Drosophila melanogaster: one gene and its partners. The protein of the gene in region 2 interacts with the protein of the main gene of each other region in a pairwise test. Each region holds a gene or a part of one and is shown on either strand. Other genes may lie near its edges.

What was found.
Region 1: the proteins of Sobp (region 2) and rdo interact in a two-hybrid assay, tested with the Drosophila melanogaster proteins (one large-scale study listed by BioGRID).
Region 3: the proteins of Sobp (region 2) and Ser8 interact in a two-hybrid assay, tested with the Drosophila melanogaster proteins (one large-scale study listed by BioGRID).

What each region holds. Positions count from the first base shown.
Region 1 is NT_033779.5:18,010,406-18,015,527, forward strand, and holds the start of rdo (reduced ocelli), read left to right. Parts: upstream 1-1,974; 5' UTR 1,975-2,627; intron 2,628-5,122. Other genes in the region: elfless, read right to left, coding at 92-460, 529-606, 673-801, 858-971.
Region 2 is NT_033778.4:11,836,805-11,841,685, forward strand, and holds the start of Sobp (sine oculis-binding protein), read right to left. Parts: upstream 3,022-4,881; 5' UTR 2,550-3,021; coding exon 2,468-2,549; intron 1,235-2,467; coding exon 1,092-1,234; intron 1-1,091.
Region 3 is NT_033778.4:13,432,303-13,435,620, reverse strand, and holds Ser8 (Ser8), read right to left. Parts: upstream 1,415-3,318; 5' UTR 1,410-1,414; coding exon 627-1,409; 3' UTR 576-626; downstream 1-575. Other genes in the region: CG30065 (uncharacterized protein), read right to left, coding at 2,173-2,220, 2,281-2,484.

The DNA of each region.
Region 1 (5,122 bases), on a different chromosome or scaffold from region 2:
ACGGTCTTTCGAAAGTATATGCCACAAGTCTATTTGTGGTATTTAAAACCGTGGTATTTTTAGTTTAGTATGCTTTCTGCCATATCACGTCTTACAAGAAAATACGATGGAATTCGGGCTCATCCACTCCGCACAATGGGCATACCCTGCCAGTGTCGACAGCTCTCTTAATGCACGCTTTGCAGAAAACGTGGCCACAATTGGTGGACACTGGTAGCTTCTCGCGGACATCTTCCAGGCACACAGGGCAGTTGTAGGGCAAGACAGATTTCTTGGACTCCTCGTCATCTGATTTGATCCGTTTGTTGGGAGGAGAATCCTCGTTTGAATCTGAGGATTCTGTATGTCCCATTGGTGTTGATGATTCGGTGGAGCTCATACTGCTATCGAAGCTAATGCTGGTCGATGAGCTTTCACTATCACTGGAACTAGACGACTCTGAGTCGCTGGAATACTCCAACTGCACAACAAAGTTAAAGCTATTAAAACCTATGGATTCCGGATCGAGATGAACGAACAAGAACTTACCAGGAATGGGGTTCTGTCGATAGATCTGCTGCTGCTTGAGGAGTCCGAGTCTCCGTAATACTCATTTGGATTCCGCTCCTATTAAATGATGTTGTAATGTAACCAATGGATTCTGGGTGGGACCTGGCTAGAACAATAACTTACAGAGGAACCGCTGAGTAAGCGGGATCTTAATCCGGAGGGCGCGAGTACGGGAGTGGGCCCGGTGTTATGGATTCGCTGTGATACTCCAGAATTATTCGAGGTCCTGAAGTTTTCCATTTGAAGTCCCACCTATTCCATAAAGTGTATTATCAATAGATTTCAGAGCTGGGTGAACATGAACTTACCAGGTAACTGAGGCGAGAGCTCAAATGTGAACGGTTTCTGGAAAAGGGTAAGGAAATAACCCTAGTGTTCTGCTCCCATTCAGTAGAAGAGTCTGAGTCGCTGGAATCACCCATTTGAAATCGCACCTGTTTTTGCAGTTTTAATACTACCAATGAATTCTGCCTTGGAACTTACAACTTTTTACAAATTCAGTTGAACCCGTTTCCTTGCTTTTTATTTGCAAATTTACAAGAAAGCTGTTTGAACATATGTCAAAAAATCTTGAAAGTTCCAGGACACAATACCAGTATTTTAAGTGCCAAAGGTCACACTGCGATAAAAAGTACCATTTCAACGCGCCAACAATCATTGTCCGATTTCCATGATTTCCAAATTGGATATTTGCTTAGGATTGTCACCCTAAGAAGTACTATTTATACCAGGTACTCGTGGAGTAAAAGGGTACACTAGATTCGTTGAAACAAATAGAAGGAATTTCCATTTAATTAAGATACAAAACCGAGTAGATCTGGCTATGTTCGCCTGTCTTGCCGGCCGTATGAAAGAATCATAGGAACTATAAAAGCAAGAAGGTTGTGATTAAGCGGACAGATTCTAGAGACATAGACGCAGCACAGATTTTTTGGCCCTGTTGCCACGCCCACTCTAACGACAAACCGCCCAAATCAAATTTGTTTATAATTTTATTAGTCTTGTTAATTCTTATCGATTAGACACAAAACTTTTTGCCATGCCCACTCTAACGCCCAGACTTTAGAACAATTTTTAAATGTTTTCACATTCATCGATATCCCAGAAAAATGATCGAATTTCGCGTTCGTATTCCCACTAGCTGAGTAAGGGGCATCTAAAAGTTAGGGAACTCGACTATAGCATTCTCTCATGTTTGTATCTTAAATGGTTAACATAAAATTAAAAAATATGCTAACAGAAGTAACTCCCTACAACGAAAGAAATTCAAAGATCGAAAGTCCGGACTCAACAACATAGAATTCCCGAAGTCACACACGAACTTGCAACATGTTGCAAGTGCCGCTCGGACTGTCTCGAGCCGTTGGAAGCTCCAGCCGCGTTCTCGACTTCCGATTTAACTTTCAGCGCGCTTTCGGCCGACTTCAGTGTACGTTTGGCTCGCGCAGAGTGCGGATTGCAGTTCGATTCGGCTTAATCAGCCCAGTGATTTTAGCGTATTTCATCCGTAGGATTGCTCTGCCGCAGATCTGGCCGATAAGACTTGGCAACACATCAGGACCCAATCCTGGAGGCCCTAACCGTAATTAAATTATCGGGCGAGTTAATTGGCAGCCCGAGAGTTGCGAAAGTCGTAATGACGGTGCCATTCATCTGGCATTTAGCTTGATTCCCGTTCGCCGATCGCTTTGCCGTGCTAAAGTCTGTAATATTTGGTTAGTGCGGGTTGCCAAAAAGTTAAACAGAACAGAAAGTACGGTTCATTTGCTAAATACACGGGACCATTCAAATATCCCGACACAATTTAAGAGTGTGTGTGGGCGTGTGTTTGTGTATGTGCGCTCAGTGAGTGAGATGTGTGGCAAGTTTCATTTATTGGCAGCCAGCAACTGATTTGAATATTCACTCGCACACTCATACCCGAAAGGATCTGCGCTGCCAAAATACTAGACCAGATTGTGGCTCCTGTGTCGCCCGTGCATAAGTGTGTGTGCAGTATGATTTATAGGTCCTGCAGCAGGCGTGATGTAAAGTGACAATTTCTGGTAATTTTCGATTTACATGCCGTTGTGCATTGGGTAAGTTTGACGAAGGATCCCTGGATTTTGTTTACTTTGTTTTTATAACATTACCTGGAATTAATTTTATGCGTAATTTATTGCTGCGAAAAAGAGAAGAAAGAGGTCAAACCTGATTCAGTACCTTCCATAATAATAACTTTATAATATATCATTTGATAATAAATTTCAAACTGTTATTTTTGGGAAGAAAAGGGTTGGATGGGGCAGACTTATTATATTTATTTTTAAATTTCCACGTGTCATGTTAAAAAACTATGGATGGAAAACCATATTTATTTGCTCAAAATGAATAAATTTACCTTATCTTATCCTTGTCTATTTTTTTTTTGTATTTAATTTCCATATTTAAAGTTATAAAAATATGATCTAAATGTTAATAAATATGAATTTACATGATTCTATACAGTTCTACCAAAGTACAACTACCAAAAGCATTTTATAAATCGATTGAAAAACGTTCCCATTGGCCACGCATATTGTTGTTTATCTTTATATTTCCAAGGCACACGAGTAGTTACCTCTGAGCTAAGATTGATTTACACCTGCTCGGATGTCTTGCCAATCAGAAACCGCAAGACAAACACTACCTGCGCACTCGCGAACATATCAGATCGCGTATACTTCCGCTCTTAGAGGGTTTCGCTTAAAACGGTTTCCGCGAAAAAATTAACTTTCCTAGAATCTGAAAATACGTCCCTGAATAGCTGAGTAGAATAAATCAATGAGTAATTACAGAAGTGTTATTGATTTTGGGCTCCTTTCTCTCGAGCATAAATTAGAGCCAATAAATATCGCGACATTAGGGAAATTTTATCGGTTTCGGATGGCCGAAGATTATATTAATGGGTGCCATTAATATTTAATCCTCGACAACAGGTTTCACCAGCGTTAAGGACACAGAGAACGCCAAAGAAATAAAACCATCCATCCCATTATTTGGCAGAAGGAGAATTGGAAACTTTTGCAAACAGCACCTGTGTCTAAGGAATTTTTAATAAAATCTCCTGAAAAAGTGGTAAACTCAACAAAGCCATTCGTCATGCTCAAGTAACTTGGGTTTTAGACTTTTGGGGTTTTTCCCTTTCGCATGCTTTTTCTTGCTGGTCAGCGAACCAGTTTGGCATCATAATTATGCAACCAGGCATGCAGCTGAGGACACTGTCGGCTGCCAAAGGGTTGAAAGGAACCCTTTCTTTCTTTATACATTTAAATTTGGGTCACTTACGGCCGAAGCAAATTGTAATTAAAATATGAATTTTCCATGCAGCCATATAACAATTCACTTTTAATTTTAATCATTAAATCCCAAAAAAAAAAAAAAAACACTTTTATTTTGAACAAAGCGCAACTCTTTTTTCACTTTTGCGACGGCCTTGACGGACTTAAAGAGTCCTGACTGTGGAAAATAATCATCATCAGCCGCAGGATTTCAAACCACCATCATTATCGTCTGCTGGTCTGGTTTGCATAATTTCATACATAAACTGTCGCTTTTTGTGCGCATAATCTGCAGCTTTTAAACAAAAAAAAAAAAAAAATAGGCAAAAAATATTAAATAAAACGCAGTGTCGGCGGAAAGGTGTCATATACTCCAAAAATTGGGTGTTCTAAATGTTCGAGAAATGAAGCGCTGAAAAGTTGGTCGCGTTACGCATCCGCCATGTTGCGCGGCGCCAAGTGGTGAGGATTACGCCGGGGTTCCCATATACTTAATGACATGCAGCTGCTGTTTTACTTGCGGTTTCTCCCTGGAGCCCCCAGGAACCTTTAGTAAATTTTGCTGTCTTGTCCCCCTCCGGACTAACTTATGAATTTTAAGGTGATTTCCATGTCGCAGGACCAAGTTCAGGAAACTTTGGATTGGGGGTCCTTTGGGAATATGGGATGAGTGCCACGTCACATCGGGGACTTGTCAGCAAAGGGTTGATCGCATCATAAATCAAACGAACTGTTAGCCCAGTTCGCAATCAAAATCATTCTGCGGTCTGCAGCATTTGTTCCTCAGAATGTGGTAATTAATCATCGAAAGTAATTGGTTTTCTGTTTTGATTTGACATTTGAAAAATTGCAGCTGTGACAATTCAATCCCAGTTCCAGTTTATTTGCCTAGCGCCATTTACTTCGCTGGTTTTTCAGTGCAAAATGCTGCAAAATAAACGCAAAAGTTTATTATACTTTGGTTTTTGCCGAAGTGAAATGGTGACCTATGCAAATTTATGAATGCAAATTAAATATAAACGAACGCATAAATGCGGCTTAAAAATATTGCCACGCAATATTGGCAAACAATGGGATTAACTGGACAAAAAATGGTAGGGAGTGTCCTTGAAGTCCATGTTTTTTAGCACGGGTATTCATAGGCTAAATTGCCAATATGGCCGCAACTCTGGCTTTAACGGAATTATGTCGCTAATTTAATGATGGCAAATGTATTGTTTTGTCGTTGGCCCCACTGAGATTGGTTTATGGGCGCAACCGTTTATACAACTTTG
Region 2 (4,881 bases):
GATTTCCATTCGCCGATCGGGTTACACGTGCTGCAAAAATGTTGCTCTGCGACTCTCTGTCCCTGTCTGTGGCATTAAATTAATTTCGCTCATTTGCCGGATGGAGCAGAAGCGTAAGGGACTGCGGACAGAGAGGAGCGGATGGATTCCGAATCGGAATCGGACCCGCTCACTCGTTAAAATGATTATAAAAACTTATCAATATAAAATTACCGCCAACTCCCGCTCGACTTACGAGCTCGTCCCGTAATCGCGTAATCACAATGGCAATCGGAATCCGAATCCGAATCTGAATCTGAATCCGAGTCTCCTCAGCTGCAGCGACCGCTAGCAACTCCTCTTTCAAATTCCGGACGCGGATTCAGATACAAAGTTGCATGGAATTTAATGTAGCACTTTTGAGCGGGGGCGGTAGCGGGGCGTTGCATTATCATTGGCTCTTGCATAAACATTTCCAAATAGCCCAACAGTCAACTGAGACGAACTGAACTGCACTGAACTGCGCTGAACTGAAAGCCGAAACGATTTTTGGTTCTCTGGCCGAGGGATTTGGAGTCGGATTCTTTGATTTCAGCGCTTAGTTGGAAGTGCTCTTTGGCTGGAATCGCTGGATTCGAGCTTGTAAGTGGAAACTATGTATGAGCAACATGCAGTTTACTAAATATTTTTGCGTTCGCTAAGGATGAAATGGAAATATGTGTTCTGCGGCAAAGGTAGTTACGTATATCATGAGCACACATTTTTATAGATATTTCCATGGCAACTACGAGATACGAGATCCACTTCAAAGCCACTCTAAGATATAGACTCCAAGATATAGACGCGCAACTGGCGAGTGGGTGTTATTCACCTTTCCCCCATCCAAACACTCGGAAACAAACAAATAATAATTATTCTGCGTATATGCAGCTCGCAGCTATAGAAGCCAAATGTTTTGCCAAGAGCAAAGAAGAACGTTCTTATTTTTAAATCCAACGCAAACTTTGTCAGCATCCTTGTTATTGAATACGCGGCGAAATAATGCGCAGACAGGGGCAATTAATTAGACGGCAAGAAAGTATCTCAAAGTGTTCATTCATACATTCACTCACCTTTATCTCATCGCTGGGCAGTTCTTTTTTGATCTGAACGGGAATCGCACTCGAGGATCCCACGTTGGCATCCCGAGAAGTGGACGATGGCGACGTCTTGGCGGACATTTCAACTGGATGCGGTATATAACTTTCGGGTGAAACTGGAACACAAGAGAGACCAGGGGTCAGAGTGGAGCCAGCCAGATACTTTTTTGGTTTTCTTTTTTTTTTTTTGAGGGGGATGTACATATTAATAGGGCGCCGAGTCATTGATCTTGCCACTGTAAACAAATGAACTTTGGCTCCATCAATCAATGGATCCAACTGCTCTGCCCCCAAAACAATTAATTACAGCGATTCATAGTTCTTTTTCGGATATTTCCTTGTGCCCTCCGCTTTGCAGGCCGATTCGCATCCATTGGATACGCATGCGGCAGAATCGGACTGCGATATATTTATACACCTCGCTCTGCATGTGTGTTTATCGTGTGTGTGCGTGTGTGTGAGTATCTGTGAGCGAGCGTGTTCGCTTGGCGCGCACTTTGGTGTCTTGTAATTCAATACCCCGTTCGGAACGAAACGTTACCACCTATCGCATGACACAAGACTACAAATTCAAATACAAAATATAAAGGCAGCACAACAAGAACACAGCGGATATATGCATAGTGTGGCCTGTATTTGTTGTTCTTTCGGAGGAAATCAGACAGAAAAGACGAAAATGTAGTTACACAGAAAAAAATATATCGCTATATTGATGTGGTTTCAAGCGGCGGGATTTCAAAGCACATTTCCATTACGAGTTTGCATAGCTTTAAAGTTTAGTTTAAGAATGTAAACAGAACTATATTTCATTTTCAGCTGTGCACCTAGAAGGAAACTATTCCGAATCTGAAGGGAATATTTTGTGTATCCAAAGTTGAGCAATGGGTATTTCCGGAAATGTTTTAGCTATAGATCTGAATTCAATCCCTCATTGAGTCCCTTAAATTTCATTAAATGTATCTCCATTGTTCATCTTAAATGCGTTCTTGCCTCGTTCTGCCAGATATATCTACCCGATTTCATTATTTTTGATTGCCCATTAAAAACATTTCACTCTGGCTGTTCTTTTGCCTTGGATTCATTTCGTTCTTCTTTTTTTCGTACTCTTATTTTTCTGATGGCTTTGTTTTGCTTTCGAAAGCTTTTCGAAAATAAAATGCAAGTCAAGTTAAAGCGTATATCTCGTATTTTTTAAGCATTATCATTTCTCGAGGTTTTTTGTGTATTGCTTCACTTGAGGTACAAATTTTTCAATGCATCGTGTGGAAGAAACAAATATATATTCCAAAAATAGCCAGATATTTTCAACATTATATTTTTGGCGTGTGTGCTTTTCAGCTCTCACTCACAATTGGCCTTTCTGCTTTCGCACGCTCTTTTCAGTTTTCTTGCGATGGATTTTCCGAAGCAACGAACGTCAAGGAAACTCATGCACCGTGCTCATTTTCATTCCTCTTTCTTCAGTTTTCACTTTCACACATGCACGGCCCGAGAATTCGTTTCGAATCAACCGTTTAATCCGACCAAACCGAATATACCGATTCGCGTTCACAAATTTTTTTTTCGAAGCGGTACCGCGCACATCCACGTCCACACGCGTTCGCGTTTCATGAACATTTGAGCCAGCCGTCCGGTGGCATGTGGATTTTACTTGCTTTTGCTGCTTCTCTGCTGCTTTTGCTGCTTTTGCTGCTTCTCTGCTGCTGAGTCGCTGCCTCGCTGGCTCGGTGTTGTTGCCTTCGTTCCTTCGTCATCGTTGTGGCGCAGCTGTGGGTCTGATGTGATGACGTAGCGCCCACCCCCAATGGGACCAAAACATCAGCCGCACAGCGAAAAATTATATACTTTCAATAACTTAGATAACCGTAGATCTGCTACGAGTTTTTTCTAAGTTTGTACAGGCTAGCAAAATTTGAAGTAGAATATTTATTCATTTTGCAGTGATAATTTCAGAATTCATACGGTTTTTTAATATGATTTGATGGTTTAAGAAAAGTTTAATTAAACAGCGTGTCATATTTATCTTATTTTCAATTAACAAATATACTTTAAAAAAAATGCAATATCAAATTGATGATCTTTCCTTACCCAAAAAAGTTTCAATAACTTACGCGTATTTTCTCGCAGTGCAATGACTCAAGAGAGCGGCGCAGACGCTGGCATCTCTGGCAGATGAAAACGAAAACGAAATTGCACTCGGCTGCAGCGCGAGATTCTTTTGCATAATTTGCTATATGTAGGCGCATTGGGCAGTTAAAAATAAATCTCACCGCTTCACCTGCCTTCGTTTTGTTCTGCATCGGATATTTATGTTATGTTCAATTTTTGTTTAATTTGCACAAAATACTTGTGCGCCGGCGGAGACAAACGCACTTGGTCAGAGATCAGAGAAACGGCTGTGGGAAATTAATGGGGAGCATCTTAAGTAACGCGAGGAGAAAATGCATTTTGACAGCCAGAAAGGTCGAAAATGGCGTGCCGAGGATAAATTAAATCGATATTGATCATCCGATTGGCTAAATTCTATGCCAAAATTAAACTTAAATAAATTTCAAAGTATATGAAATACGTAAAGTATAATTTGTAGGATATTTCCACCTAATTTAAAGTGTAAACTTTAAACTTTAAGATATATTGTAAACTTAAAGATACTTTAAAAATATTTCTAACTTACAATATCTTTTTAAGTTTTTATGGTTTTTTTTATATAAATATTCTCCGCGTAAAAACAGACGGTTTGACTCTACTTCTAATAACACTGAAATATATATTAGATATAATATCTAACCTGGTTGATTCACATTCTCCATAGGGCCCAACTGCTGGCCAGCAGAGTTATTGGTCACTAGACGTGACCATGGCACTTGGCTTGGAAAACAGTTGGCAATTCTATCAAGAAACCCGGTACTTGGGGGAGAACTTACCACTAGCCGACGCCAAGTACCAACTATCAGGAGATAGTACCAATCCCTTGGCGAGTCTGGTACCTGATGGTAAATAAACGGAATGGTCGAAGAAACAATTGAATCGTTTAAGTAGAACATCACAATCAGAGAAGAAACAGGGGCAGAGCAGCTGGCGTGCCAATCAAACAATGTGCTCATGTAGATAAATGTGGCATTTAATGCCGAGAATTTAATTTGATTTGAACACGAGCCAGATAAATTTAGTGTTGGATGTCACTTCGTTCGTTCCCACGCCGCATCAATGCGCAAAAACATAAGTTTGTTAGGACATTACAACAATTTAGTTTATTTCTGCGACTGACTCATTAGTGGCGGTTGATGAAATGAGATTTTAACATAAATTGCTGTTGGCTTTCGCTACAAATTGTTTTCCTTTGCCCTATAATAATTGATCACTTTAATAACAGGTGAATTGTACTACAAACAACATTAATTTCATGTAGGAAAACCAATTAAACTAATTGAAAGTTAGTAAACTATAATAATGAAAGGTAAAGTTATTTTTAAGAATATACAAATTAAGTTCAGACACTATAAAAAAGTCTTCGATTATACGTATATAAATTATTATTTATTTTTATTAAATTTTCGAATTTTAAATTTTAGCGCATTTGTATAAGCCTATCAATATATCGATTGTTCAGTATAAGCTTAATAATAATCGGTCCTTCTCTATAATTCTAACATCTGACTATCATCAGCTGTTTTTGTTATGATTTTTCTTGACTAATTACAAATAATTTTTAAAATGACAGAATAACTTGAAAACTAAAAGAATAACTAATAATAATAATTCA
Region 3 (3,318 bases), 1.6 Mb from region 2:
TTGTTAGCCATAAATTGGTTATTTAAATGACGACAATCAAAAGTTGTAAAACGCTTAAACCGATTAGAAACAATAGAGATAGCAAATTTTAAGTGCACATGCAGTGCATAAACGGGAACTCAAAGGAATTTCAAACTAAACTATCAGTGAGGAAGTTAAACCATTAGCAAAAAAAAAATGTTCCAGCAAATGAACTAAAAAAATTTGAATATTTAAATAAATGGCATACATAACTTTAATTTTTAGTAATACAAAAGCGTGTAAATGGAATAGACAGAGATTTTACATGTCATTCGCAGCCATGTCACAGATATGTCACCCGACTTTAGTATGCAAACGCTGTAACTGGCTTACCATGGGCTTGCCGCCCCTGTGCCCCGCCAGAATTGAAGGCCCCACCCGGCAGCCAACCCCTGTGGACTGACCCAGATTGCATGAGCCAAACGAGCGGCGTGGCCCACAGGAAGGGCACGTCCTGCTGCCGCATGTATGGCTCTGGGGACTGGATTCAGAAGTCACTGCTGTTGAGCAGTAAATGAGCGGAAGCAGCAGTTGAAATAAAAGCCCTGCCAGCTGCAGTTTAACTATACGTACTATGAGTGCGATTTTATTGTGCTTAACTAAAGCTAGACAGTCTTCTGGGCCTGAAGGACCCAATCTCTCAGTTCGGCAATGTTGGCATACACGCCGGGATAATTGGCGACGGCGCAATCTCGTCCCCAGGAGACGACGCCCACCAGTTGGCCTCCGGATACCAGAGGTCCACCAGAATCACCCTGGCATGCATCCTTGTTCGTCGCCGCTGCACAGATCATGGTTGCTTTGATGAAGGAACCATATCCGTAAGTGGAACTGCCACACTGCGAACGGCCCACAATTCTCGTGTCCACAAAGAGCAGCGTCGCTGACGAGGGGCCATCGGTGGAGGTCTTGCCCCAGCCTGAGATGCTAGCTGCTGATCCGTGAGCCGGCGTCGCACTGGCCATCGTAATGGCCTTGATGGTCGAGCCAAAGGTCAGCTTAGTCTTCAGACGCACCACTCCAATGTCGTTAATCTTGCTGTTGGAGTTGTATGCCTCATGTGCCTTGATGGCAGCCACCTCGACGAGAACGCCACCATAGGTTCGCTTATTGGAGCCAGCCCTTATCCGGAGATTGGAGACCGTGGTCGGAGTGTCCAGGCAATGGGCGGCGGTCACGATGATGTTGTTGCTGATGATGGATCCACCGCAGAAATGACTTCCGGAACGCTGCAGAGAAACCTGCCAGGGACGATCCTCAATGGAAGAGGCTGTGCCTCCAACAATCCGGCCACCTAGCGATGATGTTTGTGGTTCCAGGCCAATGGGAATGACTGCGCCATTCGTGAGGGCCAGCAGGGCTAAGAAAGTTGCTATTAGTAGGGACATGTTTGCGGTTCAACCTTGGATGGCTAACTAACTGCGATGGGTGGCCTTTTATAGCCACAGATTGGGCATTGCCCGCGTGCGGATAAGGTTGTCAAATGACACGGCCATATTTCATTCGTATCAATCGCTGATTACCCAAAAGGCCCATCATCCGGCAATTGTCTCCAGGTGCTGGCAGGAGAATATGGGTGCTTTTAATTACCGACTGGTTATTGATTAGTTAGCCGTGAGATAGGTGGGATAGGTCAGTTGCTGGGCTTAGACTTATCGTAGGAATGCTTGTTTTGACGTCTTAATCTGGCTATAATCCATTCTCTGTTCTCTCCAGCTATTGACTGGGCCTTACCAATTGTAAATATTTCAAATACAGATTACTTCTTCCGTTCGGTGCGCAAAAAGCGTTGTAAATTGCATGACCACTTACGTGCTTTGAATGAGCATGAAGGCCAAAATAGACGTAACCACTCTGCACTAGCTTATGCTTTTAATATACGAACAAAAAATATAGAAATGTAGGTACAAATCATGAATAACTCATTGGTCATTTGCTCGACTTCGTTCCCCATCGCAGGACACGGAAAATGCATTAAAAACAACGGACAAGTCCACATCCGCTTCGCTGGCAGGACTCGGGCTCTCGTTTATTTGCCAATTAGGTTAAAAGTGTCACGTTCAGTTTAACAACTTCCGCCAGCGTTTCGTTCCTGTTCAGTATTGGTTCTTCAATATGGGCAATGTGGGTGGGCCGGAGTCATAAATTGGCCTAGTGCTTTGTAAAGCAAGTTTTCGACTCGGTCGGCATGCTCTGGCGCTGAAAAGCCCACAGACCGTATCAATGGGGAATTCATGTCTGTGGTGTTTCAGTACCTACCAAGTCGTTGTCGGACATAAGGCGCCTCTTCCAGCTGGTCAAAGTTTCCGAGTAGGTATAATACTCCACCATCCGGTTGAAGGTTACATGCTTCTTTGTCTTCGAGGACTCCTTACCGATGCCATCACCTGCTCCGTCCAATTCGATATCCTTCATGATTAGAATGGGCTTGAGCAACGAGCTCGATGGCTGCTCTTCCGACATGGCTTATATTGATATAAAAATATACAACTTTTTTAACCTGACTGAAATCTGGATTCAGGGATTGATAAGAACTAAATTTGACACTATATGTTTCAATGCTACTACGATAGTTTTCGTTTTTCGTTTTTCGTTTTCCTGCTAAAAATATGTCACGAATTTATATATTAATTTAATACAATGGCAAATGTATTTGTTACCATTTTATTTATTGGTCACGTATTTATATAGGTGAACCCAAAAGAGAGATCTTTCAAAAGTATACGCAAATATATATTTGATTATTTATTAATTTTGCATTGTTTGTCAAATCATTGCTAATTTCTGTGGGCTTAAAAAAATATTTGTCAGAAGTGGGATTCGAACCCACGCCCTCAAAGAGGACCAGAACGCTCATTCACAAACACTTTCGTTCAGAAAGTAAGATTTTCAATCTTGAGTCTGGCGCCTTAGACCGCTCGGCCATCCTGACACTTGATTCCGCAAACGCCCAAAATCTAGTGTCATAAAAGTATATACAAAATGGGGCGTTGAACCAATAAATTAGGATGTTCTCTGTTTGCCATTATATTGTCTAAAAGCATTTTCAACTCGTTGCGAAGATAAGATCGTTCAATAAACCGTTTAGCTTGATTGCCAAAGCAAATTAAGATACCTCACACGCGGAGAAGTTGGTCGGCTAAAGGGACGGGAAATTCAATCATCCTTGATGGTAAATTGAATTGACATTTCACTCAGCCGCCTTGCGAGAAATAGACCACGTTAGATCATCCTTGTCGGCTTTATGTGACATCATCGCAGGATACTCACTGTCCTAGCATGCACGGCATGAGATAA